Linked DNA regions of Neodiprion lecontei. The main gene of each other region encodes a partner of the protein of the gene in region 2 in a complex. Links are inferred from orthologs where the notes say so. Each region holds a gene or a part of one and is shown on either strand. Other genes may lie near its edges.

The links.
Region 1: U4/U6 small nuclear ribonucleoprotein Prp31 (region 2) and probable small nuclear ribonucleoprotein Sm D2 share a complex: the UniProt entries of both Homo sapiens proteins name them as parts of the U4/U6-U5 tri-snRNP complex. The link is inferred for Neodiprion lecontei from reciprocal best matches to the Homo sapiens genes PRPF31 and SNRPD2.
Region 3: U4/U6 small nuclear ribonucleoprotein Prp31 (region 2) and U6 snRNA-associated Sm-like protein LSm4 share a complex: the UniProt entries of both Homo sapiens proteins name them as parts of the U4/U6-U5 tri-snRNP complex. The link is inferred for Neodiprion lecontei from reciprocal best matches to the Homo sapiens genes PRPF31 and LSM4.
Region 4: U4/U6 small nuclear ribonucleoprotein Prp31 (region 2) and probable small nuclear ribonucleoprotein E share a complex: the UniProt entries of both Homo sapiens proteins name them as parts of the U4/U6-U5 tri-snRNP complex. The link is inferred for Neodiprion lecontei from reciprocal best matches to the Homo sapiens genes PRPF31 and SNRPE.

What each region holds. Positions count from the first base shown.
Region 1 is NC_060266.1:19,484,697-19,491,567, reverse strand, and holds probable small nuclear ribonucleoprotein Sm D2, read left to right. Parts: upstream 1-3,709; 5' UTR 3,710-3,727; coding exon 3,728-3,870; intron 3,871-4,110; coding exon 4,111-4,366; intron 4,367-4,454; coding exon 4,455-4,559; 3' UTR 4,560-4,641; downstream 4,642-6,871. Other genes in the region: trafficking protein particle complex subunit 13, read right to left, coding at 1,093-1,185, 1,324-1,471, 1,602-1,702, 1,786-2,012, 2,080-2,176, 2,323-2,446, 2,754-2,881, 2,961-3,045 and 2 more; proteasome subunit alpha type-6, read right to left, coding at 4,787-4,844, 4,950-5,379, 5,933-6,014, 6,101-6,195, 6,380-6,455. UniProt on the Homo sapiens protein: Plays a role in pre-mRNA splicing as a core component of the spliceosomal U1, U2, U4 and U5 small nuclear ribonucleoproteins (snRNPs), the building blocks of the spliceosome.
Region 2 is NC_060263.1:188,528-197,433, forward strand, and holds U4/U6 small nuclear ribonucleoprotein Prp31, read left to right. Parts: upstream 1-4,271; 5' UTR 4,272-4,447; coding exon 4,448-4,568; intron 4,569-4,658; coding exon 4,659-4,856; intron 4,857-5,009; coding exon 5,010-5,214; intron 5,215-5,303; coding exon 5,304-5,473; intron 5,474-5,564; coding exon 5,565-5,722; intron 5,723-5,806; coding exon 5,807-6,097; intron 6,098-6,189; coding exon 6,190-6,414; intron 6,415-6,658; coding exon 6,659-6,763; 3' UTR 6,764-6,896; downstream 6,897-8,906. Other genes in the region: WASH complex subunit 4, read right to left, coding at 1-1,181; cell cycle checkpoint protein RAD17, read right to left, coding at 1,794-1,890, 1,964-2,079, 2,154-2,344, 2,520-2,609, 2,705-2,883, 3,006-3,128, 3,199-3,355, 3,476-3,890 and 1 more; uncharacterized protein LOC107218750, read left to right, coding at 7,734-8,043. UniProt on the Homo sapiens protein: Involved in pre-mRNA splicing as component of the spliceosome. Required for the assembly of the U4/U5/U6 tri-snRNP complex, one of the building blocks of the spliceosome.
Region 3 is NC_060261.1:34,774,517-34,781,885, reverse strand, and holds U6 snRNA-associated Sm-like protein LSm4, read left to right. Parts: upstream 1-3,762; 5' UTR 3,763-3,961; coding exon 3,962-3,964; intron 3,965-4,042; coding exon 4,043-4,084; intron 4,085-4,157; coding exon 4,158-4,256; intron 4,257-4,497; coding exon 4,498-4,705; intron 4,706-4,786; coding exon 4,787-4,884; 3' UTR 4,885-5,142; downstream 5,143-7,369. Other genes in the region: NADH dehydrogenase [ubiquinone] iron-sulfur protein 6, mitochondrial, read left to right, coding at 5,420-5,554, 5,754-5,930, 6,052-6,117; protein SYS1 homolog, read right to left, coding at 6,508-6,990. UniProt on the Homo sapiens protein: Plays a role in pre-mRNA splicing as component of the U4/U6-U5 tri-snRNP complex that is involved in spliceosome assembly, and as component of the precatalytic spliceosome (spliceosome B complex).
Region 4 is NC_060262.1:5,975,953-5,982,824, forward strand, and holds probable small nuclear ribonucleoprotein E, read right to left. Parts: upstream 3,733-6,872; 5' UTR 3,602-3,732; coding exon 3,317-3,601; 3' UTR 2,895-3,316; downstream 1-2,894. Other genes in the region: uncharacterized protein LOC107220233, read right to left, coding at 1,134-1,312, 1,404-1,482, 1,565-1,747, 1,830-1,999, 2,120-2,313. UniProt on the Homo sapiens protein: Plays a role in pre-mRNA splicing as a core component of the spliceosomal U1, U2, U4 and U5 small nuclear ribonucleoproteins (snRNPs), the building blocks of the spliceosome.

The DNA.
Region 1 (6,871 bases), on a different chromosome or scaffold from region 2:
ACATTTCATTGAAATGAAATTCGAGATTCGAATATTTTTGTACAAAACTTGCAACGCGTAGTAGGTACGGGTATAAGTAGGTAGGTAGGAAATTACGTATCCGTACGTGTGTCTGTGTGTGTGTCGTGTGTACACATACATATATGCATTCATCGTTATGTAAAGTGTTAGTGACGTCATCATGCGGGTACAAAGCGCCGCTCTAAGGCGGACTAGTAAACTACAAAGCTTTCATTTTCCATTACATTGGGACAGGGCCGAAAGCAGAGCGTAATTATTGTTTATACAATGGTCTGTAAAGGAACGTATGCGTAATTATTTTGCATTAAAACAATACATGTAATTTACCCAATCCAATGAAATGTAACGAGACTTTTTTCCAAGCAGTAGGACAAGTGTAATTTGTACTGAATGAAAGACGAAAAATATTACCCGGAGACCCTGTGACACAACCACAACGGAAAAGGAGGAGTTTGACGATGCTGATCGAGGCCTCGAAACTCGATCACGTTTAATGCAACAACTTCCGATCGACGCATGCTGTCGAGACTACATATCGATGTTCGATGGATCGAAAAAATCCGTAGCGATTAGTCAAATTCCGTGATATTTTTGCCTAAAGGGGAATTAGATATCTGGCATATTATATGTATAGATCAGATTCTTGCTACCTTCTTTATAACGCAAGATTCATTGTATGATTTATATTAATCAAATTTTCGTCAAATAATTGCAGAATGTCACTGATGTATTGGGGAAAAAAAAAAAAATCAACTTGAAAATGATTAATTTTAATCATTAATTTCAATCGATTAGTTATTTCTTAAAATTTGTCATAACTTAACAAATCTGTGGCGATGAAGAAGGAATTAGGTTGTACAAATTTGTCATTGTTAATAATGGTAGGTAATTTTCGTCGATAGGTAATTGGTAACAATATCATAAAATTTCAATAAATTGATAATAAACTTTCTTTCGTAATAGATAATTACATCAGATTTAATAATTATTGATCATATTTACATATTTATACAACAAATATTATATTAGAATCTCTTTTCCAGTAACACTTTCTATTAGTATAAATAATAATTAGTCGACTTGATGTACAAATATTTGGGCGAGGTCATCATGATCGTAGACACGTTTTAAAAATGTGTCCACTAATTTCAAACCTGAAACAGTCTAAAGGCGAAAATGATCTATCTTTAGTCTCTCTTCTGAAATCATTACCCATTATAATATATTGAAAATTATTTGTTTTAGCACTTTTCACTATACATGCAGCTTTGGATATGAAAATCTTTGAAAATAAATACTCACAACAAGCCCTGTGTCGAGTGGAATTAAACACAATGGAATGTCGCACGATGCTCCCGATTTAAGAGTTCCTATCACAGTCTCAGAGACTCCGCACCATGCTATAGACTTATTAGATTCTAGGCCCAACATTATATCCATACTTCTCTCTCTGTAAACAAAACATATATTGAACTGAGCATTATTTTTCATTGATGTTATTTTATTTCAATTTGAATACGATAAATTCGAAAGGTTCTCTACACATTTATCACTGTCAATGAATGCTTTCAATTACTCACGAAGTATTTACAATACGACATTTGAAGTTCACTGGTTCTTCCAGGTATGCAATAGGTGGTATCTCCTTCATTGTTACTCTCAAGTCTCCAAAATCTGGAGCCTTAAAGACAACCGAAAATCAATTAGATCGAATACCAGCTGAGCTTTACATGTTAAACGCATATTGCAGTTTTTGAAACAAACCATCCTCTGCAGCTGACTCGTTTGTAGGCGTCCTCTTTCACCCAAATTACTCCGCCAAACGATATCAAGTTTTCCTATGTTAGTTGCATTATGCATCATTTTTGGATCCTTGGTTAAGCTCGGCTGAGGAGTAAGGCAGTATAAGTACTGCCGGCTCGATCCAGAATCTAATAGATTCACTCGCCCGTAAATAGACTCACCTTGCAAGTTTGTGTTCAAGGTTGTTACTGTGGAGAGTACATTTTTAGTTAAAATTTTTCGTTTCCCCTGCCATAGTTACAAAAATTATCTCACCATTGAATAAATGGGATGACTCAAGTGCTACTTTCTCCAAACAAATCGGACCGGCAGTTTGATTCTGTATTTGAGCCTCCAGATAAACGTCGTCAGACTAGAAAAATCATATGATTAATCGTAAACTTTTTACATTTATAACTGGGTCCTTTAATTATAAATTAAATAGGATAACAAATTTTCATTAATGTATTCTTTGTCATAGTTTTCAAACAAAGATACCCTAAAGGAAAGATCATTTACCTCTGCATTATAGAATTTGGTTTTAACATCGAGTGGTTTGACGACTTGGAACTTGAAAAATTTGCGAAATGATAATGGAACAGGTTCAGAAACTGTGGGGGTATATGTAACTTCGCAAACCAATCTGAAAATGAAATTGTGAATTTTTATTTTCGAAACTTCGCAGTTCAGGATTGAAGAGAGTGGTTTGCTCACAAAAGTACACCAGACGGTTAAAATTTTCAACCAAAGAAATAACACGGATTGCTAGTAATCTGAGATTTTATAAAAATTGAAGTTGTCAAATTCCAATAACTATAGATTTCACAGAGTGGAATCAACAAAATTTCTACCTGTAAACAGGAACCCAATAATCTCTGAAAAATTTGACTGTACTACAAAACACCAAAATATAATAAATGCCATACTACAGAATAGCGCAACTCTCTTACATGTGTGTCCCAATCTCTTTAACTTCGTGATGGATAACTTCGTCCACTGTATTATCAGGGCCTAGTTCCTTAGGCATACCGTTATGACCAGACAAAGGTATTCGTTGGGAACTAGTTTGAAGATCAGCCTGTAACAGATTTTAGTTAAAGCATTATTTATGCCAACTCAAATGTTGTCATACAAACTGAAAAATAAAAGAATCTTACTTTCACCATCACGTCTTTAACTAATTGGGAACTACCGTTGTGAACGCATAAATAGCTCGAGAATATTTCTCCCAAGTAGATATTACTGAAACAATTGTAAAGCATTTATGATAAGTAAAATTATCGGTAGAAAATGGAAAAAATTTTTCATCTCGGCCACTGTGATCAATTATTACCCAAAACTCTGTGGCAACATCATGAATTGGCCAACAGCAAGGGTCTCCATTCCCTGGAGGGAGGTGTTGTCATTTTTAAGCTCATTATTGAGCGTGTTACCTGGAAGATCTGTCGAGTCGCAAGAGACAATTACTGGAGTAGCAAGTGTCGGCCTGGTAAGCCGCATAACTAGAAATAAATAGAATTTAATGAAGAAGTTTTCAATTAACAAAACACAAAAATCAACGAATAAGTTAGGCGTATGAGGCAGTTGACATGAATTTCCTTACTCATTCAATTATACAATATTTTGAGAACTAATTGGTCATGATTGTTCAAACGCACCTTTTAACGCTAACAAATGTTCACTTTTCGGTTTTGCTTCCATTTCTCTCGTTCGGTGGTAATCAAGTAATAAATTCCTTGTTGTTTTTCAACAGTCAATCTGGATCTGAAAAATCTGGATGCATAACCTATGACATCTGGGGGATTCTTATGTCAAACATTGAAGCAGAGACCTACTCATCTCCATAGAGCTCATCGCTGATTGGAGTTAAGATCGTAGGGAATTCTGCGGCTGAAGACTGGCAATTTTGTAACTAGTAAAATAAATGAACAAATCCGGAATCTGGGTGATTCCGGCACAACCACAACGTTTGCCCGACGAAAGAGAGACGCTTTTCAAGATTCGAGAAAAAATTGATGATCAATTGAAGCAGTTTATAAACAGCAAGAATTTTTCCAACAACATAATGTGAGTGTGCTCTCAATAATATTGATCAAATTATCGTTGAATCTGATAGCATAAAGTAGACGAATTATTTCCAGTTTAGAAGTCACGAACAAAAACTAACCTAACTTAACCTCTCATCAAGATTTAGAATATTTTTTAAATATGATTTATGACCATACTGATGTGTTAACTTTGGCTAACAATTGAACTCTGTTTTAAACGTGATACAACAATTTCATTTCAACAAATGTTCGATTACAGGGCGTCGCTAACCAAACCAAAGTCTGAAATGACACCTGAGGAACTTTCTAAAAGGGAAGAAGAGGAGTTTAACACCGGTCCCCTGTCCGTTCTGACACAATCTGTTAAAAACAACACCCAGGTTTTAATCAACTGTCGGAACAACAAGAAACTGCTCGGCCGAGTCAAAGCATTTGACAGACACTGTAATATGGTATTGGAAAACATCAAAGAAATGTGGACAGAATTACCACGGACTGGAAAAGGAAAGAAAAAGGTAATAAAATCGAAACTGACCTCACTTACCCTCAAATTTATAACTGATTGTAGGTAAAATTTAATAACTGTATGATTAAAAATTGCAGGCTAAACCAGTGAACAAAGACCGGTTTATATCAAAAATGTTCCTGCGAGGTGATTCGGTTATCTTGGTGTTGAAAAACCCACTTGCCACAGCATCAGGCAAATAATATCACTAGTTTGTAAGAATTTTGTAATTATTTTTAACAAGCTGCGATTATATTAAAATAAAGAACCTACTTTAAGCCGTAAGCCAGAGTTTATTTTAGCGTACTTCGACCTATGCATACTTAGTACATATCATCGATAAGATTGATTATTCAGTAAAAAAGAAATCAGATGACACTTTGTGATTAATTACACATTTGGTCATATCCTTTCGACCCGATCTCACCAATTAATCCTTTTCTGCAATTGCGGTCAGATGCTTATCGATTTCTTGCTCGTTGAGAACACTAAGAAGCCATGAAAGGAGAGAAAGAACGAGTTAATCACAATGTATAACTGCAAACAATTGGTTTAAAAAAAAAGCGACATATGAAAATTCATTCATGAATTACCGGAACTTCGGATTGCTCTGGGAGACAACTCCGACCTCAATTTCAGTTGGTTTAAAATCAACAGAAAGAACGGTCGAAAGACAAGTGATAGCCAGCTGAATCGCTTCGTCGTGATCATAGTTCTGCTTCTTTTTTAACTTTTTCTCCAAGTACGAGTTGGCCTCGGTTTGTTTAGCACCAACTGAAATTGCTCTGTAGCCACAAAAGTACCCTGCAGGATCAGTTTTATAAACACAAGGCCCTTTCTCCTGATCGTATGCTATGAGTACCATCGAACATCCCAGAGGCCTCATTTCCGCATTTTGAGTGTAAATCTGACTAATATCAGCCACACGGCGGCACAAAGTGTCTACAGGAATGCTGTAGTCATGTTTGTACTTGAAATGGGCAGCTTCGTAACGAGCACGTTGTACTTGAGATTTGCTGTCAGCTGTAAAAATATCAATTCATTAAAGATTCGTTCAAGTATCATTGTAAAACATAATGTAATTTTTATGATTTAATTAAATCGTTGTAAATAACAGTTTTGAGTATTATTATGAAAAAAATATACTCCACGATTAAATATTAAGTATCCTGAAAAATGATGGTTCTGTTTTTATAGCAAAATTTGATTCTCAATTAATGAAACCTTTTTCTAGAAATGTATCAAGAGCATAAATAGCAGTATTCTTAAAAATAATTAAAAAAAAAAAAAACACCTAAATTCCATAGGTTTCATGCTTAGAAACAAAATCTATGTATGCAGGTATACGTCGGGTAAGTTTCAATTAATCAAGGGGCCACACTTGAAAATGGTTGGTGAAATTGAATTGGTTGGAAATGATTCTTAAATTCACAATTGTCAGCAGAAAATATCTGTGACAAAAAGATTTTCTCGAGATTAGTTTGGATTGTGAATAAAATGTATAATGCATATCAATACAACACTTTTAAAACTCTCAATATCACAGGTTAAATACGGAAACACTTTAAAAATTTACCAATCATCCCAGTCATGACGCAGCCAATATCTTCAGTCAATTGGAAAACGTGTGTAACGCTTGAGGCATCGAGAAGCTTGTCCTGTAATTTAGATGAAAAGTAAAATATGAGTCAATGATGTGCCAATGTAAAACCGTTTTTCTCCTCAATCTGACAACATAACCTACCGGAACTTTTTTTTGTGTAGCAAATACCGCGGTGTCGACGCCTTTAAGAGCGACGGAGGTCAGGCCGCCTTGATTAATAGCCTTAAACGCATATTCTGGAACACAAACAACGTTTTAATTAATACAGAATACTATCCATCAAAAAGTGAAACACTAATCACGCCGAGTCATCATAAACACGGTAATGAAATGTCGAATATTGCACGGAATACTCGCTCGGGGATCGTCGGATTTTTCGTAAAGAAAACGGTGATACTGCCGACTTTTTTGCAGACTTACCTACTTGGTAGAGCCGACCTTCCGGCGAAAATATCGTAATATGCCTGTCAAAACCAGCGCTACTTCCTCGCGACATTTTCGCTCTCTGTACTGACGGCTTTGCTCACAGTCAGTTTTGCGCTGCTGTGGGGGGTGGGGGCGTTCCAAAACGCCACCTGAATGAGTAGATTAGCTTTCTTTTCACTCAGGGTGCGTTCCGATTCCGAACTACCTCCCAGTGCTGTCAACAATCTTTTATCACTTTTGCACTGCCGAGTTCGTGGGTAGGTCTGCCTTTGTCCTAGGGAGTTTTTAGGGCTGTCAGCCTATTTCGGAACACACCGTTTAGTCACCTGGGTGGCATTTCGGAACGCCAAGGATATCTGATTTTTATTTCATCAGTCTATTGTCTATTCTGTTACTATCTATGAGATTTTTAGATGGCCGTCCGCCGATATAAGCGACCTCTTTGTTCTGGTTTTGAAACCGCGGCGATTTGACACATTCGACCAA
Region 2 (8,906 bases):
CTTTCCAGATCAGATTGGTGAAATTTCTCAACAGGATGCACGATAATGTTCTGCATCTCGACTGACCACTGGGTCGCCCTTCTAGCCAGGGAATTTGTGACTTCTGGCAATCTTTGGATCTTAGAGGCAAGGATCTTTTCCCCGGCTTGCGAACCGACTACCAAGCCAAATTCTTTTGGGACTGAATTGGCCAAAAATTTATTTGGAATCCAGATAATATTGCCAATCAGAGTAATAGAGTAGTATTTTTTATTCATTTCGCAAAGCCTCTTAAAAATCTTCTTATCTACAGTTCCGAACAATTTGACAATGACGACGACCCCTACATTTGTACGTATCCAGTTTTTGTTAAACAATAAATTGTCACTGGCTTTCTTTTCCACATCCAGCATAGTATTTTTCAGGTAACAAGCGAAGTGATTCTGCATTATTGGGCTTTTTTTCACATCCATCGCCCTGTCGATAGCTCCGAGAAATAAATTGTTAGCCAAAAGTTGATGGCGCAGATCTTTCAGCAGCTTTTCAAAAGTACGTAACTTTGAGCCAGGTATATTGAATTGCTCAGAATTGTGGAGCATTGTGCTAGCGCGGACGCAGTACTGATCCCAAGTATCGAGTAGCGAAGGTTGAGCAACGATGATCTCATCTAGAGTTACAAATATTACAAATAAGTCAACCAGATGTTCAATGACCAGCGGAAAGTATATATCATAGGCATTGCCCGTCAGATTCGACAGCTGCTGGATGGTCAAATTTGCGACAAGCGATACCCGTTTGACGTATGCTGACAGGTCCTGCAGAATTGATAACAAGACATTGACGTCGTCCCCCTTTTCGTCAACACTGCATCGTTCGCCCTGGGTGAGTAGCCTCTGGTAGAATTTATTACCTTCGATTTTCAGTAGTCTGATTTCCCTGCAAGTACCCGCGACCGCCGCGAGAAGCTTGGCCAATGTTTTGTTCTCCATTTCTACCATGTCCATTATGGTAATGTCCTCGCGGGGGTTGTAAACGAGATGGATCGGCCCTTGGATGACGTATTTCAGAGATGTGTCAGGAACCCAGCCTGAATCCTCGATTGATTTGTTAAAAAAGTTACCATACTTTTTTAGCTGCGCTTCTCCGACCGTTCGATGAATTGCCTCATCCCTCGCACTGTTCCACGATATTGAGTCTATCATGTTAACGGTGCGGATTTTTTCCCTACGCAATTTCACACTATCAATATCAGTCAGTTGTCAGTTTTGCCGTCCATTACGCTTCTCCTCCGCGTCCGGCGTATACATTGTAGGTTAGTTTACCGATGTCAATTTCCACTGGCGGATTTGAAGGTTAGACAGACTGTCGGAAACCGAAGAGTATTAGTAAACTCTTTGGTCGGAACGATAACAGGACAACCCGTTTGTTGCGCACGCCCAATGACGCCCATATAAATCACGATCTAGGCAACCAACGCTGCGTGTCACCAGATAAGAATCACACCCACATCAAACCGTGGTGAAACAAGGGTCAAATGTCGTCAAGCTGTAACCAGGGTCAAGTGTGAAGCAAATTTTCGATAAGATCATTTATTAACCAGTCGTCTTTGTGCAGCTGTTACAATAATTCAACGGGCTCTTAGTCGAGCTTGTTCACAGTCTCTGTATGAAACGTATCTAGAAATAGCCGTTTAAATAAAAAAATAATAATATCTGAACAAAATATAATTGGAAAATGATCATTGACGAAACACGTGGTATCGGCAATTTGTTTTCGGGTCGTGAAAAATCTTGGTATTTTAAAATGTATATCCTTTAATTTCCAAGCCCCTTGAATGTTATTGTCAAGGCTAATTTAGGGCTGATCAGCGATTTGTACCAGAGGGTTTCAGTGGATGCGAGATCCCTGCAGCTGGAAATAACAATGAAAACATTCATTTCCACATATCGAATTCGAAACTATAACCATGCCCAGCTATACACACATTTTTTCGTCATTACGTGGTTTTCTTACTGGATTCCAACCCGGCACAGGATCATTGTTGGTAATCATTATTCCACGGATACAAAACGAGAGTCCAAGTCTGCCCAAATGCGAGTCCTGAAATTTTTTCATTGTCATACAACTTACATCACATATTATTTACATATCACTTTGGAATGTAATCCACATACCCTCCAATCAGATATAAGACAATCTGAAATGCTAAGTATATCAGTGGCTGCAGTAGCTTCTTCGATTCCTCTTGTGGTATTCAAATGATTTTCATGTAAAAACCGCGCGAACGTAGATGGTTGAGTTTGAAAGAAGTACGCAATTTCATCTGGGTCATGTACAAACTTCCATGAATTTCCTTCGACTAGACCTGAAAATTTAAATGACTACCAAGTACTGGATAATCAAAAAATCGGTATTTTCGGAACTTCACGTTACTTTGAACGGAAGATTAATTTAAACTTGTGATGTAGCTCATAATTCACATAGCATATAATTCTACAAGATGTTTTTCGATTTACTTCTGAAAATGAACTATAACTTACGTTTGGGATTAGTTACTCGACCGATGGCATGAAGTAGGCTTAAAGATTCTCCACGACCTCTTCCTTCGCAATCGATTTGTCTATTAGGTACTAAAAGCATACGTACATTGAATAACATTGGAGCTAAATCCAGCAGCTGTATATAAAGCTGTGTAAAGTGCTATGAAAAGGCTGTACGTAAAAACCTTTCAGAGAAGCGAATATGAGGTTAATAACAGTGCTCCTAATATCTCCGATATTGTTGGATAATATTTCTTCTACGATATGTTGAGACACGTGTACCATGTGAGAGGCTCTGGTGTTAAAGACTAGTGAAACTCTCTTCAAAATATTCTTCGTGACCGCTTGTGTGACTGGATTTATGCTGCAAAGCAATACAGTCAAATTCAACGAGTTGATTACAGTGAAGAGTGATATATCATTATAGAATATTTTTCTAGTGCTACAAAACCACATGAAATGTCAATTTCATCACGAGAGCCTCACCTGATATGACAAATACCAAATTTTTCCCTGACATTTGGTGGAAATAAGGTTTGCAGCGCTCCCATGCCCCCTGAATCAGTGCAAATAAATACAACTGGTTCTTTGCCCGTCCCAAAGTATTGCCTGATAAATAATTATAACCGTCATACTTGAATTCAACATACATAATGCAAAATCTGGAACACAGACTCACTCGAGGAGTGTGTGAAAGGCATCTTTATCGTTGAAGTAAACATTTGGAAAATCCTTAACGAGTAGTAGGCGTCTGCAACAATCTTCAAAGAGAGAACCGTATCTTGTAGTTCTGACCATAAAATCTTGAAATTTGTCTCCTTGCCTCGTGAATCTATCTATGAGAAGAGGTAGTAAATTATTTAAGGAGTATTTATCATCAACATCAAGTGTTTCTCCTATTTTTAATCATTGAAAATAAATGTCTTTTATGCTATCGACAGTATTGATCAACCTACTATTTTCATCCGCGCCTTGATCAGCCGGTGTGATCCATTCGACACATTCAAACTCCTTCTCTTTGGCAAGTAGTTTAAAGCTAACGGTTTTTCCACAACCCGAAGGACCAGAGAGAATCAAAGCGCATGGCTTGCTCTTGATAGTTTTATATTCCAACCAATCGTATATTTCTCTTTGTTTTTGTCGGCTAATAGATAACTCTGAGGCTTCTTGAGGTTCGCAAGCTTTGAGAAGAGCCGGTAAGCTGTTTATATGTGTTTTTTTGTCATAAATATCAATCGTTCGTGACACTCGGTCTAGGGACGGTACTTCTGTTTCTATTTTCGGTCGCTTCGCAGGTGTCACCACATCTCGCTCACTCACGTCACAGTCAAAGGACCATGACATCCGACTACCTTTATTCTTCTGTAAATTCTAACGAATTTGAAAATTTGTGAGATGACTGTGGCACGTGATAAGTTTGGATCTATTATGACTGTTTTCTGTATTCAATGCTTATTCACCTTTGAACCGGACATGTCTGATTCATTTGCGGAAATTCCTGGACAGGGACTGTGGTTCGAAATTACTTTAGGGCGTGCCTAACTGGGTTCTAGATCTAAATACTTCCTGATTGTTACCTGCCGCCAAACTTCAAAGTGACAGAATGTTCGTTCTTTGGTTCATTCAAGTTATTCGCTTGTCTCTGCAGCCATCTGTAGCTAAATACAGGAACAACGTGAAATCGGCCATTTTTAAATACACACAGTGGGCATTGGCTATTGGCACCATTAACCTCTGTTTATGATAAACGGTTGAGCCACGAATAGTATTACTTCGCGGGTTGAGCACAGCAACGTCGCGCGAGACTTGGTGAGACGTAAACAAAAAGGTTGCTCAGATTAGGATGGAAGAAGTTTAGGAATTGAGGTTGAAGTTGCAGAATCCTCCAAGTACATACCTCTTGAAATAAACTTCCCAATTAATCCAAGATGTCTTTGGCTGACGAGCTGCTGGCCGATTTGGAGGAAAACGATGACGCGGACAAGTTTATGGAAGAGGCTGAGCCGGAATTTATTCCACCTGCAGCCGTTGCTAAGACGATTGAAGAAGGTCAGGTTTACTATCCACGGTCTTTGTTGCATATACATATCAGTTACCGGATAATTCAGACTTCACATTAAATTCGATACTTTATTACAGAGGTCAAAGTTGCTTCCGTTCGAGAACTCGCAAAATTGCGCGACTCTCCGCAGCTCCAGAAAGTCGTTTCTCTCATAGACAGCTATGGCAAAATACCAAGAAAGTCAGCCGACATCGTAGGTCCGGTTGAATCCGACCCTGAGTATCAGCTCATCGTCGAGGCAAACAATATTGCCGTCGATATCGACGATGAAATTGGTAAGTTTCCCGCAGATTGCAACAGCTTTAACACGCTCAATGGGTGGTTCATTTTGTAATTGCCAGTCAAAAAGTAGGTTCTGGTTAGGGCAATGTGACAAGTTTTAACGGATACCAAATTTTGCCAATATGTATAGGTCCCTAATTTTTCAGCAATCATTCATAGATTTACAAGGGATAAGTACTCCAAAAGATTTCCTGAGCTGGAGTCGCTGGTAGTTGGTCCATTGGAGTATGTCATGACAGTTTGTGAATTAGGGAATGATTTGGATCGAGCTAAGAACAATGAGAAGCTGCAGCAGTTCTTAACGCAAGCTACTATCATGGTGGTGTCGGTGACTGCATCTACTACTCAAGGGTGAATTTTCCAATCAAGTTTAGCATCCTGGTTAAACAATTGCTGACTATAATTTTTTTTCATTCAATAATCTACGTTATATTCATTAGCCAACTTATGACTGAAGAGGAAAAAGAGGCAATTTGTGAAGCCTGCAATATGGCCGTAGAACTGAATAATTGCAAGCTGAAAATATTCGAATATGTTGAAAGCAGAATGGCCTTCATAGCACCGAACCTTTCTATAATCGTTGGAGCTTCGACGGCGGCAAAAATCATGGGTAAGTGAGGTAACTGTGGAAAACAAAGTCACTGTATCAATTTATTATCTTGAAAATTTGAATTCGTTTTTGTCCATTTCAATTGTTACAGGGATTGCTGGCGGTTTGACAAAGCTATCTAAAATGCCAGCTTGCAATCTTCTGGTTTTGGGCTCCCAAAAAAAAATGCTTTCTGGATTTTCCCAGGTGGCTGCCCTCCCCCATGCCGGATTTATTTATTATTCTGACATAGTGCAGGACACACCGCCTGTAAGTGTTTCAATGATTTCTTCCACCTTGCAATCTGATCTATCTTGATTTTTGCTCAACTTGGACTTGCTTTTGTGCTCACAGGACTTGCGGCGAAAGGCAGCGAGGCTTGTCGCCACAAAGAGTATGCTGGCTGCGCGAGTCGATGCTTGTCACGAGAGTACGGATGGTCACATTGGCCAGGCACTGAGGGACGAAATAGAAAAAAAATTGGATAAGCTGCAAGAACCCCCGCCAGTAAAATTCATAAAACCTCTTCCAAAACCGATCGACCCTGGTCGAAAGAAGCGAGGCGGTAAACGTGTACGGAAAATGAAGGAACGATATGCGATCACAGAATTTCGAAAGCACGCGAACCGGATGAACTTCGCCGACGTAAGTCTTTTCTACAGTTCAAGATATCAGGCCGTCGCAGATTTCAGAAATCTTGAGAAAAATTGCATTTCGTTATTTTTCTCCCTCCGCAGATTGAGAATGACGCTTATCAAGAGGACTTGGGTTACTCCAGAGGGACTATTGGCAAAACGGGAACAGGCCGTATCAGACTACCTCAAATTGATGAAAAGACGAAGGTGCGGATATCGAAAACTCTCCAAAAAAACTTGCAGAAGCAGCAGCAATGGGGCGGCAGTACGACAGTCAAAAAGCAGGTTTCCGGTACCGCGTCGAGCGTTGCCTTCACCCCGCTACAGGTAAATTCTCACGTTTTTTATCTCTGGGATGACGAAAAATCTCAAAGTTATCAACGTTAAAATACATCAAGTCTCCGTCATGTTTTTATACTCACAACTCAATTCATAAAGTCTAGTATAGTTACGAACAGTACAATTATATTGATTATTGATTCTTTTTTATTTTTTATTTTTTCTTTTTCGTTAGTTTCTATGCGCTTCTGTATAATTGGACAATAAGTATAAACACTCAATTCTTTATCAGGGTCTGGAAATCGTGAATCCTCAAGCAGCAGAGAAGAGAGTCAACGAGGCGAATGCAAAGTACTTTTCAAACACTGCAGGTTTCCTCAAAATAAAAAAGTCATAGTTTGTGTTGATCATCTTCGCTTCGTCAACATTAAAAATAATGGCGCTCATATAATTCTACCATTTGGAGCATAAGTATGTAGGTAAGAGTAAATTGTCTTTTATATAAGGGAAAATAATGATGATAAAGATAACGACAGTCTTAATCGCATTATTCAAAGTTAGTAAAATTAGTTTATATCCGATGGCGAGTGTTCTTCGCGATTCCATAAATTTTATTCGACGGCCTATGTTTCAAGTAGATATACCGAGTGCTCTATTTACCTGCCCATCTGAGCTGACTTTGAGATTTTAACCTTTCGTCGATCGCGGGTCTTGAGTTCTCTCATAACGTAATAGAAAAAAATGATCTGACCTCGCGTAAGATCGGCATCCTCAGTCCATGTTTTCGTTTTCTACGTCTACTTCGCGTTTAAATTTGAATGACCGCGACTGCGTGTGACGAGCACAATCTCATTCGTTTAACCAGCTCCGCATAAAATAGTTCCGCGGTGTTGGGCTTCGGTTCGAAGCGGTTCAGGTTCGTTGGGCAAACGGTGTTGCGAGTGAAAGCATACATCGGTCAATTGCACAAACCGCGAATGACATGCCGCCGCCTCACCCACGTGCTCTCATACTCGAAGTTCATATGTATGTGTTTTTGCGCCATATTACCCAAAATTTTTTTGCAAATGGACTTGAAGTTCTTTTCATGACAGAGGGTCATGCGGCGCCTCATCTTTTCAGCGTAATGTACCGTCGTTTGAAAGCTGCAGAACCCACGAATTGCGTAACAATTATCGAGTGTGAAAAGAAAACTTCGCACTGAGAGTGAAACTCCTCTTTCCTGAATTCCGAGCACTCAGCGGTACGTTGTGGTTCGTCAATTTAGGCCCACCCCATCATCCGTCGCTAGCTTGAATTGAAAACAAACCGACCGTGGACTGTTTACCCGCGTAAACTATCGCACCGTAACCCGGCTTCCATAATAAATGCGTGTCGTGACACGGAGTCTGATCGGAGCCGGAGCGTGCGTTACTGCCTTTCCCGTTTTCCACGTGGTCGAGGCTTTCGATTTTGCTTCGGAACGCGACAAGGTTGTCGGAAAATCGTGCCGCTCGAACCTGTCTCGGTGTCCTCTGGTTGTTGCGCCCTGCAGCTACACATTGATACTCACAGGTGGTATCGGAACAAGGGCAACCTTTGGCCAATCGGAGGCCGCGAGGATGGCCAGTTTCAACGACCTCAAGACCGAGTGGTCCATGCTGTGCCAGGAGTGCACCGACTGTTGGACAAAGACGGGTGAGCCCATGACTATTAAGACGTTGGTTCTATCATTCTGGACGTTCGCGAACTGAAATCGAGACCGCTCTTATTCTGGACTTTCTTTCCCCCTCTCTCGCCTTCACTTTCTGCTGACTTATCATAATTATTATATCGTGGTTTGGAAGACAATTAGGAGGGGATAAAAAGAGTATTTGAAAAAGCGTTGTGCGTTTTTATATAGGTACACGCAATTTGCGTAAATAATTTCCAATATCTATCTAACAGTCGGCCTCTCGATCGGATCGTACTTAGATCGGTTGTTCGGTTGAACAGGTGAAATGAGAATCGAGATTCGGCACTCGCAGCATGTTGCCGCGACGGAGAGTGATACGATATAGCTGTACAATATGAATTAGAACAGCAATCGCCGTGAGCTATATGATATTTTCGATAGAAATGTGAGAGCGGTGCGCAGATGGAACGTCGAGATTATACGCCTATAGCGGCACAAAGCTCGATGTTGTTTTGATCAGTGGTCAAGGATGGTATACACAACCGTAGGCGTATACACATTTTTTACACGGCACAGCTTGTGCGCGTGTGTGTTGCGTGCCGAAAGGTCGCCCCTGCAACGATGAAAACAGTATGATAGCATGTTGTATATTATACGTACGATACCAAACGTTCCAAAAGTGTGTAAACCGTATAATTAAGAATAAGAAGATACTACAATACCTGATGGTAAAGATGCTGGAATAATTCATAGACACCGGTGCCAAATTGTCTCAACCGATTGTCGCCTCCGGCAATTTTGCTTTTCATTGCGTGCGCGGGATGGTCCTACGTTGTGTTCGAACAAACGGTTGATGTCGGCCGAGTACATGGGAAAGAGATAGACA
Region 3 (7,369 bases), on a different chromosome or scaffold from region 2:
GATAGAATAGATATATAATATTCATACAATATACCCACATATTTGTATGTTATATTACGACATCGTCGTATCCACGTTTAATACTACCAATAAGATGTAACATGAAATAATATCATCGACAGTCGAACACATCTGGCATCTAGGGTCTATAGAATTATGTGTATAATGCGTACGAAATAGGATAGCCTAGTAGCGTCGCCTTGGGTCGTCGTTCGTCATCGTCTAAGAAGAAACTGCATATACACACGCACGCACACACAGTTACTCCCGTGTGTATGTGTATATTTATATTATATAACACGTCACGCTAGGCGATCTATGTTGCATTGCTTAGTTGTTCGTGATATAAGGAAGGATTTAATAAGTAAAAAAAATTACCCCGTAGTGGTGCAAAACTACTTTGCTGTAATCTGTACGATCGAGAGTATCAATTTGACAAAGAATCATGCGTGCCCTACGTTCTTTTCAAGTTTTCTCATTCTCGTGCCGTTTGTCTAATGTTTAAATGCTCTGCCTTTGTGGTGGACTCACAATTAACGATGATTATATGTATACATAATTATGTGTTGTAATAAACGCGCGATTTAATATGATACCGTATACATAAGTCATTGTAGTTGATAAATTGAGGGAAAAAATGTATGATACAACTGTTTTGTAGGGTATATTGTTGAATTAAATCGACGTTGTCTAAATAATAAAGGTAGAGCTATTGGGTCGCCAATTATCAAGCGATCTCGCATAAGAGAATATAGCCTTTTGCCTAGCTACTAGCTTGCTAGTTATATTGCTAGATGATAATATGCATATATATAAACACACACACAAATTGTAGTCTGTAGATCGTTCTGCGTTTTGCTTATTCTTTTGATGATGATGATAAAGTCGATGACGAAACGTATAAATAGTATATTATAACTGTATACAACGCGAGAGTACCGATAAGATTATTGTTACATACATATACATATATACACATATAATATATATATACATATATACATAAATAGTTGATAAATATTTAGTAAATTAACGTATTTTGTGATATTCACAATAACTATTGTAAACACTACCGCTTTCATTGTTATAATATACATATTACATACTACATGATAGGCATTTCAAACGAGACTCAATACTTATTTTTATTTAATTTGAAAGAAATTGAGAAAATACATTATGATCGAGTACAAATGCTAATCGAGGGATCTTAACTCATTATTTTAATTCGTAATTTTTATTCTTCACCTTCAGTACATGGATGATCATTTTAATAATAAATTGTATCCCGAGTTGAAGATTTTTTTTCGCGAAACAACCAACGTTAAAATTATCAGTTACATTTCGCATTTTCATTGGGCAGTTATTAATTCTTTGGTGTGTAGCAAAACGGTTTATCGGTTTTCTGGGAAACTTATCACAGTGAATACCTAATCAAAATTGACTAGTTCTAGATAATTATGGATCTCATTAACGTTCAGGCTGTTACTTTAACGGGCTGTACTGAAATTACATAACGCATTTAAGTTTGCTTTTTTACCTCAACCCCCCTCACACAACAGACCATAACAAAATATTAAACTCCCCCTGCCTCCTATATTGTACGAAATTTTTTGATCCTTGAAAATTTCTGGTCATCTTCACGCAAACTCCTATATTGAGTTGACTTGTCTTATGCCAAGAAGCGCTACTGTCAGGATATTAACAGATTTGCCATAGACGAACTCTGGCTTGCCAAATTTTTTTACAAAATTTTTGCAATCACCAAACTTTTATTTCTATTTAGATAAATTACGTCATAAACTGGTTTGACTCCCTCTGCCTCTCAAATTGTTACGTAATTTAAGTACGGCCCCTAACAAAAAAGAGGAATATAATGGGTGGATGTGGTAATCAATCCCTAACTTCGATTTCACCCGTAATCAACAGAGAGTTTCAAGGAATACGTCTGAGCCCAATATAATTTACTCAATCGTGATGGTACTAATATTACTTCAAAGTCGTTTTATCTTCCTTTGCCTTATTGTTATTTTCGTCTTTTGTAGATGTTATTAGAAAGCATTGTTTTGTTCCGGGCTTGACAGGAACTCTGTTGCTGCTCCGTTGACACTACATGCATCGTGGCTAGAGCATTTGTACAGGAAACAGGTTTTTGAAAATTGTCAATTAACAGTACGCATAAAGTACGAATCAGACTGACTTCAGGGATTGATAAGTCGATTGCAGCTATCTTATTATATACAATATCGTATTAATTTATTCCATAAAATCGCAGTTGTATACTAGACAGACGATATAAAATCTTGGAATCAAATTGTCTCGAATTATTTCTAATCAACCTGTTGTTTTTTTATTGCAGAATAATATCACGATAATTATTAGTGTTACGCAACATGAGAAGAACACTTGAGTCTCCGCTGATTAATTTAACAACAATTCACGTACAGCTTTTTCGACTCTCCGAAGTGCGTGTATATATATGTGTATAGATGAGATCAATAATCGTGTGTCGATACTGCACTTAGAATTACGTTTATCTAATAATTCTTTGATCACGTGTACACGATATATACGAACTACGATGTAAGTCCAGTCCGATGTAAGTCCAGTCCGTTGTCATCGATTATATATTAATTTCCATTAGAAGTATAGCGATAACCAAGATGAAGCTGAAGGATCACCTCCCCATAAACTTTCCGGACCAATCTTGACACATTTTACAGTCCTACTCGTGCAGGTACGCGGTTGATCTAATTCATTATTCATGTATACATATACCTATATTCGTATGTAATACACATTTGTTGATGGATTATAAACACCCTGCTCGTAGAAACAAACTTTTAAATATATATATAAAATATACATACATATACACACACACATTTACATACAATATAATCTATACCTCTATATAAACATTACGTATGATAAGATCTTGCGAATACACGTATAATATAGAATAGTTACCAACCCAAGCAGTCAATATTGTTAAGTAACAATGAAATTACACTGAATAGTCTTACTTGGAGTATATAAGCGAAGTATATACAAACTTTACGTATTGTATGTACACTTATAGTTTAAGGACTCAGTGTGTTTTTTCGCGTGTATATGTACATATGTATATGTATATATGTTGACACAGAAATATATATTACTCAATAAATCGCCAATCGTATAGTATCAAAATAAAGCTATTCGTTGTAATTTCTCTACGGGCCCTATGCAAAATTCTTCAGCCAACTGTATGAGTAATGTTGGAATTCGTATGAGTCAAATCATATTCTGAGATTGGGTGGGTCAGAATTCAGTTAAAAAAAAGTGGAGTAACATCGTTCAAATCTCGCCGGTGAGTCGAGCTTTCATATTGCTTCATAGGAGTGTCCGAAAAATATACGGAAGAGAAGCATTTTCTGCATCCTCTGCCTAGTAATGTAGCGTTCGTGTGGCGCTCGCACCACCAACGCGGGAGTTTAGAGAAGTTGGCTAAGTTTGAACGAAAATATGGTCAGCCGTCGGCAGCGCCAAGAATCAAGATTTTTGAAATGGTCATCCGTGAGCCAAGTCAGTGTGAAGACGTAAATTCTTCATTTTTAATAAATTAGCTTTTCATTTCATGTTTTGTAATTACCTCTCATATGAATCAAAATTAGTTAGTTTTAAATCCTCAGCATATTCCCTCCGTGCAGTAATCTGAAGAGTGCTGCACTCTGGCATCGATTTCATTAAGCCTAACTTCTTTCTCTCGCGAGTCGCATTTGGTAATTTATATGCATTATATGACGGTAAAAAAAACAGTGTAAAAAACTTTTGCATCGAAGCTCGCTAGTCGATAGGCGATGTAGTCGATATGGTCGATATCAGCTGTGAATTGTGATGTTGACTTATTACTTCATTAGTCGAAATTGAAAGTGTTTAAAACTTCACACGTAACAAATCGTGCGGGAAGGTTTTAAAAATGGTAAAGTTTGATCATGCTAAAATTATGATCAGTAGATGGTTTAATAAATTCAAATAATAATGTTCTTTCATTTTCCAGCTACCGCTTTCATTGTTGAGAACAGCACAAAATCATCCTATGGTAAATCTTAACCTCAAAATTCTAGTCGTTTCATTACTTATTGCCAATTGTAGTTTGGTATTTTTTATTTCAGCTCGTCGAACTCAAAAATGGGGAAACATACAATGGACACTTGGTTAGCTGTGATAATTGGATGAACATTAATCTCAGAGAAGTCATCTGCACATCCAGGGTAATCTCAGTTGGCGTTCAATTAGCTTGCTTACATTTACTACGGGCACAGCATTGAATGTAACCTCGTCCAAAAACTCGTTAAATAATGTGTGCAGTACTGTAAGGCTGAAAGTTCCATTCCAGTTTAACCATCCTTGGAAAGTCTACTTTCATTGCAATGTGTTTATAAAAATTGCTGTAAATTATTGAGTTTATTCTATACTATCATTGCTAATCATCATAACAAATTGTCAATACAGGATGGTGACAAATTTTGGAGGATGCCAGAATGCTACATTCGTGGTAGTACCATTAAGTATCTTAGAATTCCAGATGAAGTTATAGACATGGTTAAAGAAGACGTTCAAATGAAATCGAGGGGACGAGGTGAAATGAAAGGACGTGGCGGTCAAAATCAACGAGGCGGTCGAGGCGGAGGCGGAGGTGGAGGTGGAGGTGGTGGCAGAGGTATTCGATAGTCAAAATCACATTAAATGAAGCAATTAAAGGAATTTTGAGATTTCATAGTTTATGCTTATGTTCTTTCAGGCACTTTCGGAGGACGTGGGGGAAGAGGCCCTGCGCCTTTAGGTCGAGGTGGTAATCAAGGTGGCAACAAACCCCAAAACAAACCAAGAACCAAATAAATATTTATTTAATAAGTGTTTGTACTATGAAATTACCCTAGGTTATACAGGTTTTCTAACTTGTAAAGAAATGTTATGTTTTAATTGTAGCATGTCACGGAGATATTCATCATATACGTATCTATGTATTTGAATCTAACTACACCATTGGATTATAATAATCATTTCTATAAAAAACTGTTATGGTTTGATTGCTGTAGTACTTTGAGTTGATCAACATCATGCATGAGACTTGCAAAATATACGGAGAGAACATCACAACGATCTGTGAAATAATCGACTATCTTCATCGCTTAACTTGCTATTTTTATTTTCAATAGAGCAAAAAATTAGGGATTAAGAAACGTATAATTGGTATACTTTTCTCGTATCTTGAACACTTGTGATACTTGTGCACGGGTCGGGGAAACACGTTGAGATACTACGGTGAGTACTCATTTGAACAGGTTTATGAAACTGTCGCGCAGCGAGAGCCGTGAGTCAGCTGTTATCTCACTGCAACTTCAGACAGATTAGCCGATCAGTAGTTGTGAATATGGCGTGCAAGAAAGTTGTCTGTCTGCTTGGGAATCAAACGAAAGTTTGCAAAATAAACGTCCCGGCTTTCACAACCGGAATACGTAACAAAGCTTCTTGGGAGCCCGTCGAAAAAGAAACGCATACTGGCCAGGTGAATAATAATTACGACTTATCCTGTTACGTAAATGTGAGGTTATGTTCATCTTCTTTGGTTTTCTCTGTTTAATGAACTGTTACCGCACTTTTAATTGGGTGCGTTGACGTAAACCTTGATTCGTATTCCATGAAATTTAAAATCTTTATGTCTGCTATCAATTGAAGTTATTTAATTTGGTTTATTATGACTTCAGAAATGGGACGCGAAGGATTATCGATTGGTGAGATTTGTGGATAAACCAAAACAAGTGAATCCAAACTGGGCTATTAATTTAATCGATGACGTTCCGCCAACTCCAACAACGAAGAGAGTTGTTGCCTGTGACGGTGGAGGTGGACCCACTGGACACCCTAAAGTCTACATTAACTTGGTAGATTATAACTTTATAAATAATCTTGAATCACCTCAGACAAATAACTTATGTCCTAGACATACACATAAATTAATACCGCTGTAAAGACAAAGAATTCAGCAATCTCTACCAATTACAGGACAAACCTGGGAATCATTCCTGTGGGTACTGCGGACTTAGATTCTACAAAGAAGATGCTCACTAGATTGTAGGTTCGGTAACAAAAACTTATAGTGTGTCAAGAAATTGGCAGAATGTATTGAATTAGTTGTATCTATCTCATCGCTACTCTGTACAACCATATGTGTATAATATAAATTATAATGTAACATTTTTTTCCTTACACTAGTCGACCACTTCGTCACTTCAATCTGTTACTGAATTCCTTAATTTCCTTCTACTATCACTCCCTGTGTTAACTACAAGATTATGGGCTAATGTTACTTTAACATTGGTAATAAAAAATGATACTCTGGTTTTTTCTTTCAAAAGTTTGTTAACAAAATTTATTAGGTTTCATTGGTTTTCTCTGGCGTTTTTTATTTTTAATAATAAATTAGATTGATTAATATGATTTTATAATTCAAGCAAATATTTACAAAGCTGTTTTTTGGGTATTCATTCCAAGAGGGATTGCTTGAAGTTCAGTTCTCATGCACAAGAATTCTCCAAATATGCACATTACGGTAACAGAAACGATGTTCAGGCACCACCAGCTGAAACTTGTTGGAAAACTGTAATTGTAACTCCAACAACAGAGTAAGTGAATCAGATGAGCGGTGCACGCAAAATCCATACATTGTTTAGTCCTTTGTACAATCCACCACAAGACCAAAGCTCCAATTAAGGCATTGAACAAGAACATAGTGATGACCATTTTACCACCCAGATCACGAACATGGAGTTCGCTATACTGAAAAGCATAATCCAATGATTTGGTCGATCCAAGAAGTGAGGCAACAATCCATATCCACACTCCAAGGCAAACGTATATCACTGCTTGAACGGCTATTATTTGTGATATTATCAGGATTGGATCCCATGTCATCTTTCGAAATTGTCCAGAAATGTTATTCATCTTATTTTGTTCTCTTCAGGGTGCTCCGTGTGCATTGAATCGGCGAAGATTAGCTATCAAAAGTCCGAAGTCTCATCATTTTGGTGTACTAATGTCAGCAAACATTAGTGAATCTGCAAAATAGTAATAAGTTTGTCGTGAAAAAAGCAGTTAAGTATTCTACGGAATCATCATCAGAAGAAGATATATTCAGCTGTTAATAATATTGCGGTTGTACTTTACTTGTGCTGATCCGCATGAAGTCTCTCGATGTGTTTTTTTAGCAGCAAACCTTGAGAATCAGATTTATTCTAGCTATATATACCAAATTAAACCTGCCGTGGGTTGAAATAGATTTTGAATCGACAATTCGTATAATCGTGTAGCAACACAGAACTCG
Region 4 (6,872 bases), on a different chromosome or scaffold from region 2:
GCACGAAGTGTTCGTAACTGTAAAGTGCCCTAATCGAATGGGCTACAATTTATACACAGCGTGCCGTCTTCACTGCGAAATGTTGTCTGAAAATTTCATAGTGGACAGTGCAGTGGTTCAGAATATATATCAACAAATATTCACACAATGGCGAGAGTTCGGTTCAAACTTCGCGGCGCGGCAAGCATTTGTTTACCCTGCGCGTTGTACTGCTGCGCGCTCGAGCGCGATCTTCAATTGTTACGGGTGTTGTTTATAACCTCAGTCGACTTTTTCTATCATTTATTACGATTCGTGACATGATGTGTGAGTTCCGTATTGCCGGACAATATTTTTTAAACGTATTCATCCAAGGTAAGAATTCAACGATGTGTTACCTATCGGAATACCGAGTGTATAACTTTTACCATTCGTACCGCCATTATTATAGTACGTATGCATGAGAAATTTCACGGTTCCATGTAAACTATTACTTGCAACTTCTGAACTACTTTTCCCACTACCACGAAACTTATAGACAATCTTTGTTATTGAAAAAGAAACGCTGTGTAAAAATTTCAGCCAATTCGATTAAGGCACCATTTTGTTACAGAATATTTTAGAAGATTGTTCATCAAAACTATACTTTAACGGGGCACGTAAAATTGTTTTTAGAAATTTCATACAACGATGCGAAACTTTTGCATAGGAAAATGAGAAATTGTCAGAAGTTCATTTTTCGACGAGCTGTGGTAAGAAAATGCTTGGTCAGGAAAATCTGAAAAAATTCAGTTTTGATGCTTTCAATACGAACTTCAAGTGAGTAAAAGGGCGAAAACGTCAAAAGTGGTCAGGGAAAAAATCTCGTTTTTTCGTTCAATGAATCGATGAGTCGATATAATTACGGTGGCACTATAAGCGTTTTATGAATTAGCATTCGATTTGGTGCGTTTCAGTAGAATAATTCAATGCCTTGGTAAAATAATGAAGATTATTTCATAATGAACAGATCTAATAACTGTTAAAGAAAAATTAACATCAAATTGGCAAATTCTGTGTATGTGACATTGACTAAAATTTAGTGTTGAAAGAAAATTGAAAGCCAACAGCATTAGGCATAGTCAAGTCAGATAGTTCGAGAAATTGCCTCTTACTCTGGATGGTAGCAAATTGCAAATGGTTTTTTGACGATGTCGTATTTCGTGGGTGGGACATCTTGGTTGTTGGTCAGTGTGAAGAGGAAGGCTTTTTCCGATGAGACGTAATACCCCTTCGTAGTAATCTTTCCCCAAGGAACATCGCTAAATCCTCCACATATTTCACCACGTCCTCCCTGAAATTGGAAAGTCAAGAAGCGTTGTTTTACTAAAACCATATTCGGGGTTCTCGTTGGTTTTATTTGGTTTAAAATCAATAAATCTTACCATAACTAGAACATATGTGGGAAAGATGCCGTCGCAGTGTCGATGAAAGGATGCTGCTGAGTAACCGTGATTCGAAGCTCTGAAAAAATTAGAAAACTCAATGTAACACAGTCATGAGTTGTGCTGCAAAAACTCCTCAGCGGATTGCTGAAAAAACTCACCTATAAATGAGTCTCCACGTCTGTTTGTGAATGCCGTACCACTGATTCAAGAGTCGCTGGAAGGCAATTTTGTCTCGCGACAGTATTTGGGATCCTGGAAACAGGATGAGACTGACTCTCGGCTGGAGTCTCTTGTCCGAGCATATTTCTGCATACTTGTTCGGTAGGGCGGCATATCTGTACCTTCAAATAAAACAGGGCAATATTCAGTCAAGTCAGCGAGCACGATTCTGATAGTTTTCATTTCTCAGCGTACTGAACACACCTCTCTAAAGATAATTCCATCGGCACAGCTCCGGTCGGTTCAACTTCCTCTGCGAATACTTGACTGTCGATCAGGAGAAGGCGAACGTAATTGATAACGCCAGACAAGTGCTGGCAAACTCGAACTCTTTCTTCCTCGGTCCAGTGCTGAGTAGGCTGAGTAACTCCTGCCTGAAATGTAAAATTTTGTAATCTGTTTTTTCAACACGAGTTAATCATAGCAGATTCAGCTTTTTGGAACATTCCACAAATTGGATGTGGAAGAACTATCGATAATACTGAAGCTCGAACCTGGTACTTTGCCCAGCTTAGAACTGCCCTCCAAACATCCTCTTCTTCGAGTGCAAGGTAATCGGATGCAATCAGCTTGATCAATGCATCTTTTGGCAGGGTACAAAACGACGTCGTTTTTACCGTTTCGACCGCATTCTCACCGATAAAAGCATAACAGCGGTCTATAAACGTCGAGCAGGCACTTTTTCCACCTACGTTTAACATCAAGAGTAATTATTTTTTGGCCCACTTCTCGCAACTCCATAGATACATGTTAATTAAGTGAACAAAAATGCTGTCTTTGCTCACTTTTGTTTGAAACCTAGGATTTCGAAGTTCGATATGAATATTTTTCTGTCAGTCAGCAATTATTTACAATTTGTTAGAATGCTTTCGTCTCCTGAATCCTCTATTTTTTGCTGACACATGAGTATCTAGAAAAGGACCTACACAAAGTTCTGATTGACTATCTTTGATAGAAAACTCATTTGGCTGCCAATATGGAAATTTCGTACGTAACATTTCAAGATTTCAAGCAACTTAGGTAACTTTAAACTGTGCAAATAAGCTCGATCGATTGCGACTTAGAGTACATAGCAAAGTGCGGGTAAGCATGGAACAAGACATAGAATTCGAATATCCTCTTTAACTAAGAGGCGACTCGAGTCGACGGAGTTGGATTTTTGTACAGTGTTGTTAAATCCTTAAACAATAATCGATCAGTGATTCAGGTAAAAGAATAGGTAGATAAAAAACAGGTATAAAATAAGTCTAGGAATAAACACACGCAACGTGAAATTTGTACTGTTTTTATTGAACACAACGAGTCGAGGCGATGAGAATTTGATCACAGCGAGAAAGAGAGATATTATATACTTGATTTGAAACTTTTGCAAATATGCATATTACAATTTGATTATTTCGATGAGTACATAGTAAGTTAATATGCTAGATGAGTCGACTCGTTCTGAATCGGAATGAAATAATACAAATTCAATTAAACACTGTGCCCTAATCCTAAGCTTTAAAACTATTTAAATTACAAGTGGTCGCGTTCTTTGTTCGTCGACGGTTTCGACCCTGAGCAAATTTCGCTCTTCGCCGCTCTTCTTTCCCGTCGTTCTTGTCTCCGAACTTCCAACGATGCGCGCCGCGCGCGCCGGTTTCTAATTTTTTAGGTTAGGATAGGTTATGTTGCCGCTCTCTCTTCCCGTTCTAGTTCGCACCGGGGTTCGTATTCTGAATAAGGGTGATGTTGTCCCCCTTCAGCATTATCCTACCCAGCTGTTTTCTGTTCTTCGTTTTGACGTGATACTCCTCGGCATCGTCAAGGACGAGATTCATGTACTCGTCAAAACCGACAATGTGACCCTCGATCCTCAGGTTGATGTTTTCAAAGAGCCAGACTTGTACTCGGGAGCGATTCTGCAGATATCGAAATATCAGGTTTATCGGCTGCACCATAACCTTCTGCACCTTTGGCGGTCCTTTGTACGACATTTTTGCGAGTCTTTGAGATTGCCCGTCACTTTTTTAAGCGTAAGCTTCAGTTTTAAACAAATTCGGCCGATACGTTGATACCGCGTAAACCACGACGCGTTGTATGCTGGGATCTGAATAACGAATATGGCCGCCGCGATGAGCCTGGCGGCACTTTTTCAATTTAAGCTATTTAATCCCGTCGGCAAGTGACGCCGCACCGTTTGGTGGAAGCATGTCGAACTAGCGCAGCAACACTACGGTTGATATAAAGGATCGTTGCATCGTCGCCGAGTTTGGAATGTTATCTTACGTCGATTTTCTGACACAACTCGACGTCAAGGGATTTCATTGGTCGAATCTAACGGAATACGCCAATAAAATGAATTGGTGTTGTGTTGTGTCAGAAAATTGACGTAAAAGGAAAGCGGCCATATGCTTTTATATTTTATGACCGCGACGCGCTAAAATTTGAATAGATTTCACGAAATTTTTTATTAATAAAAATTTCTTCATTCAAGCGATCTATTAATGGAAATTTATTGATATCAACTGACAAATAACAATTTATACTTAATAAAAAATACATGGTTGCATGTAAAACGTTTCAATGAGTCGTTTTTGAATGGTTGTAACCGATTACGTTACTTTTATATGGTGAAAATGAGCAAGAAATGAGCATTTTGTAAAAATATAATAATTTTCTTAATTTCATTGTAGATTTGTGTATTTCTTTTTGATAGCTAGCCAAAAATTGTGATTGTACATGAATTTCGTGAAAAAAATGTTAATTAGATATCCATATTATGCTGCAAATTTATGGGAAATCTGAAAATTCAATGTCCACATGACTAAGCAAATTTTCGAAATACGTATTGTTAATATTTGGCAAATGACGTAAGTTTAATTTCATGGATTCTTAGTCCAAAAAGTAAATACTTTTTCGTGCAAGTAAATATTTGTCAAAATTGTAAAACTGCGATTCGTGAAAATTATTTATTGAACAGAGAAATGTGTTCCAGTTTTCAGATTTCTTCGCACAAATTTTTTGCAACACAATTATTTTGACTCTGTCGTAAAATAACGGTTAAATGTGAAGCTGATCATTTTTGCAACGACTTAAAAACAGTTAAACGAAATGTCAAAATAAATCACGTTACTGAAAATATGAAGAAAAGTAACTTTTTTCTACATAAAAAATGTTCAATTTCTCAATGACATCGCTTTGCCATTCGTTATCCACAACGATTTGAACAACGTGGCGAATACAATAAATCACAACGCGTATTCCATCCACAGTGTAATACGCGACCTTTCTGCTGAACATTCAACTTTGATTCACGCTGGTGGAATCAGAGGCAACTCCACGAATACTGCGCAACAATACCTACTGCTAAACGTAGCATTACGTGACCTGTGACACTCGGAAAACAAAGACCTTTTAACCTCCGGACATGTATTATATATATTTACTCATACAAGAATGCCTTATATACCTACAACTACGGCATGCGCATATCGCCTGAAATTATACAGAAGAGCTTTACGAATTTCTGGCACGTAAAGGATTAAGGTTTAACGGTAGTGACATGGAACGACATTTCACTCACGCCTAACGATGCCGGATGAAATCTCTCCCCCTTGCTCTATCCTTCTCTTTCCTTCGCGTCCAACCGTATCGGCGAAGCCGTAATACATGTACACGTATATATAATATATAGTGCAGATACCACTTCTTGCCCATACATCGAGATTAAAATAATGAAGATTGATGGGGACTCAAGAATGTCACCTTTTTAGCCGTCGCCCTCGATCTTCCCTTCTTTCTCTCACTCACTCACTCACTCTTTTTCTCTCCGAATCCCTGGCACGCGGAAAAAGGGGTACCTGGTCATTTTTTCTCTCTCCATTACTTCTTTTTGAACTGCATTACATAGTCAATTTTTCAACCAACTTCCATATCCCTACAACAGTAGAACCTCGGTTATACGAACTTGCAATGATCCGAACCATGACTTGATTTATCTGAGCTCTGGCCCAAAAAATACATTTTTAGTGCGAAACATACATTATTTCTCGCTAAAAATGTGAAGCAGCCGTTCGTCAATTGACAATAAACGACTATGTAAAACCAAAGTACTAAAATAATCGTTCCGTGTTTGAAAGAGGTTGAATATGTATTTGGATGTTTAATACGGACTGTTCGTCGATTTAAATTTGTGTAGTATATATTATTATACTTTAAGATAAAAAATTCATTTCGGTTATCCGAACTTTTGATTATCCGAACTAGGCTCGATTCCAATTAGTTCGGATCATCGAGATTCTACTGTAGTGTAGATACATATTATACATATATCGAATTACACGGGGGTAAGAAAATTTCCACGCTGTGGCAAATTTATGTCCAGTGTTAATTAAATTCAGCGTTGCTGTTTCGAACTACCCGGTGAAAGGATTTCTGGATATTCGTGGAATTTTCTATTTCGATCCGGTTCGACTCAGTTCAAAATGAATACCTGTGAAATACAAAAGCTTTACAACCAACCCTCGTTGAAACACGCGTATTGATAGTGATATTGGCTTTGTGAAGGCTGTTCATTTTTGTTTCTTGTATTTCGAAAATCTCTTTTCGACTGCATATTCATAAATGAAAATACGCGGATAACCGATTTCGAGTACAACGCGTTATGCCCGACGAGATGTAAGCGATGTATTAGTTCGAAGGGTGGCTTTTAATTCTCACCCCGGCATCACGCGTACCTAATTTCTCTACTCGTTTATCAATTTTTTTTTCTTTTTTTTCTCATCGGGGTGGCTTACAGTCAGCCTTCAATATGCCGAAAAGACAAAGAAGCCCCTGCAAGGATTAAGCCACGCTCATCATCCCCTTCTATACAGGATTATAGCCTGTAGCACATGAGTCAAGCACTTTGATCGTTTATCCATTAATGACATTTTACAATTTTGAAACGGTGTGGGGATCAGAAGAACAAAAAATTGGAAGAATTATGATGACTCTTAACTAAAAATTTGTCGTATTACCTATTTTAACACTCGGAAATTCAATTCACAAAGAGAATTTGATCCTTTGTTTTATCTTCAGTATACATAAATCACGAAACATATTTTGACGAGTATAGATGAAACTGTATAAAAATATAATTGCATACTGACTAAATCTGTATTTTTGAAAGTGAATCGAACCCCTCCCCATACATTGAGTTCCATCCAACTTTCATGTTCCCGACACAATCGCATGGTAATTACCGTAGGGGACGTTTCTGTTGTG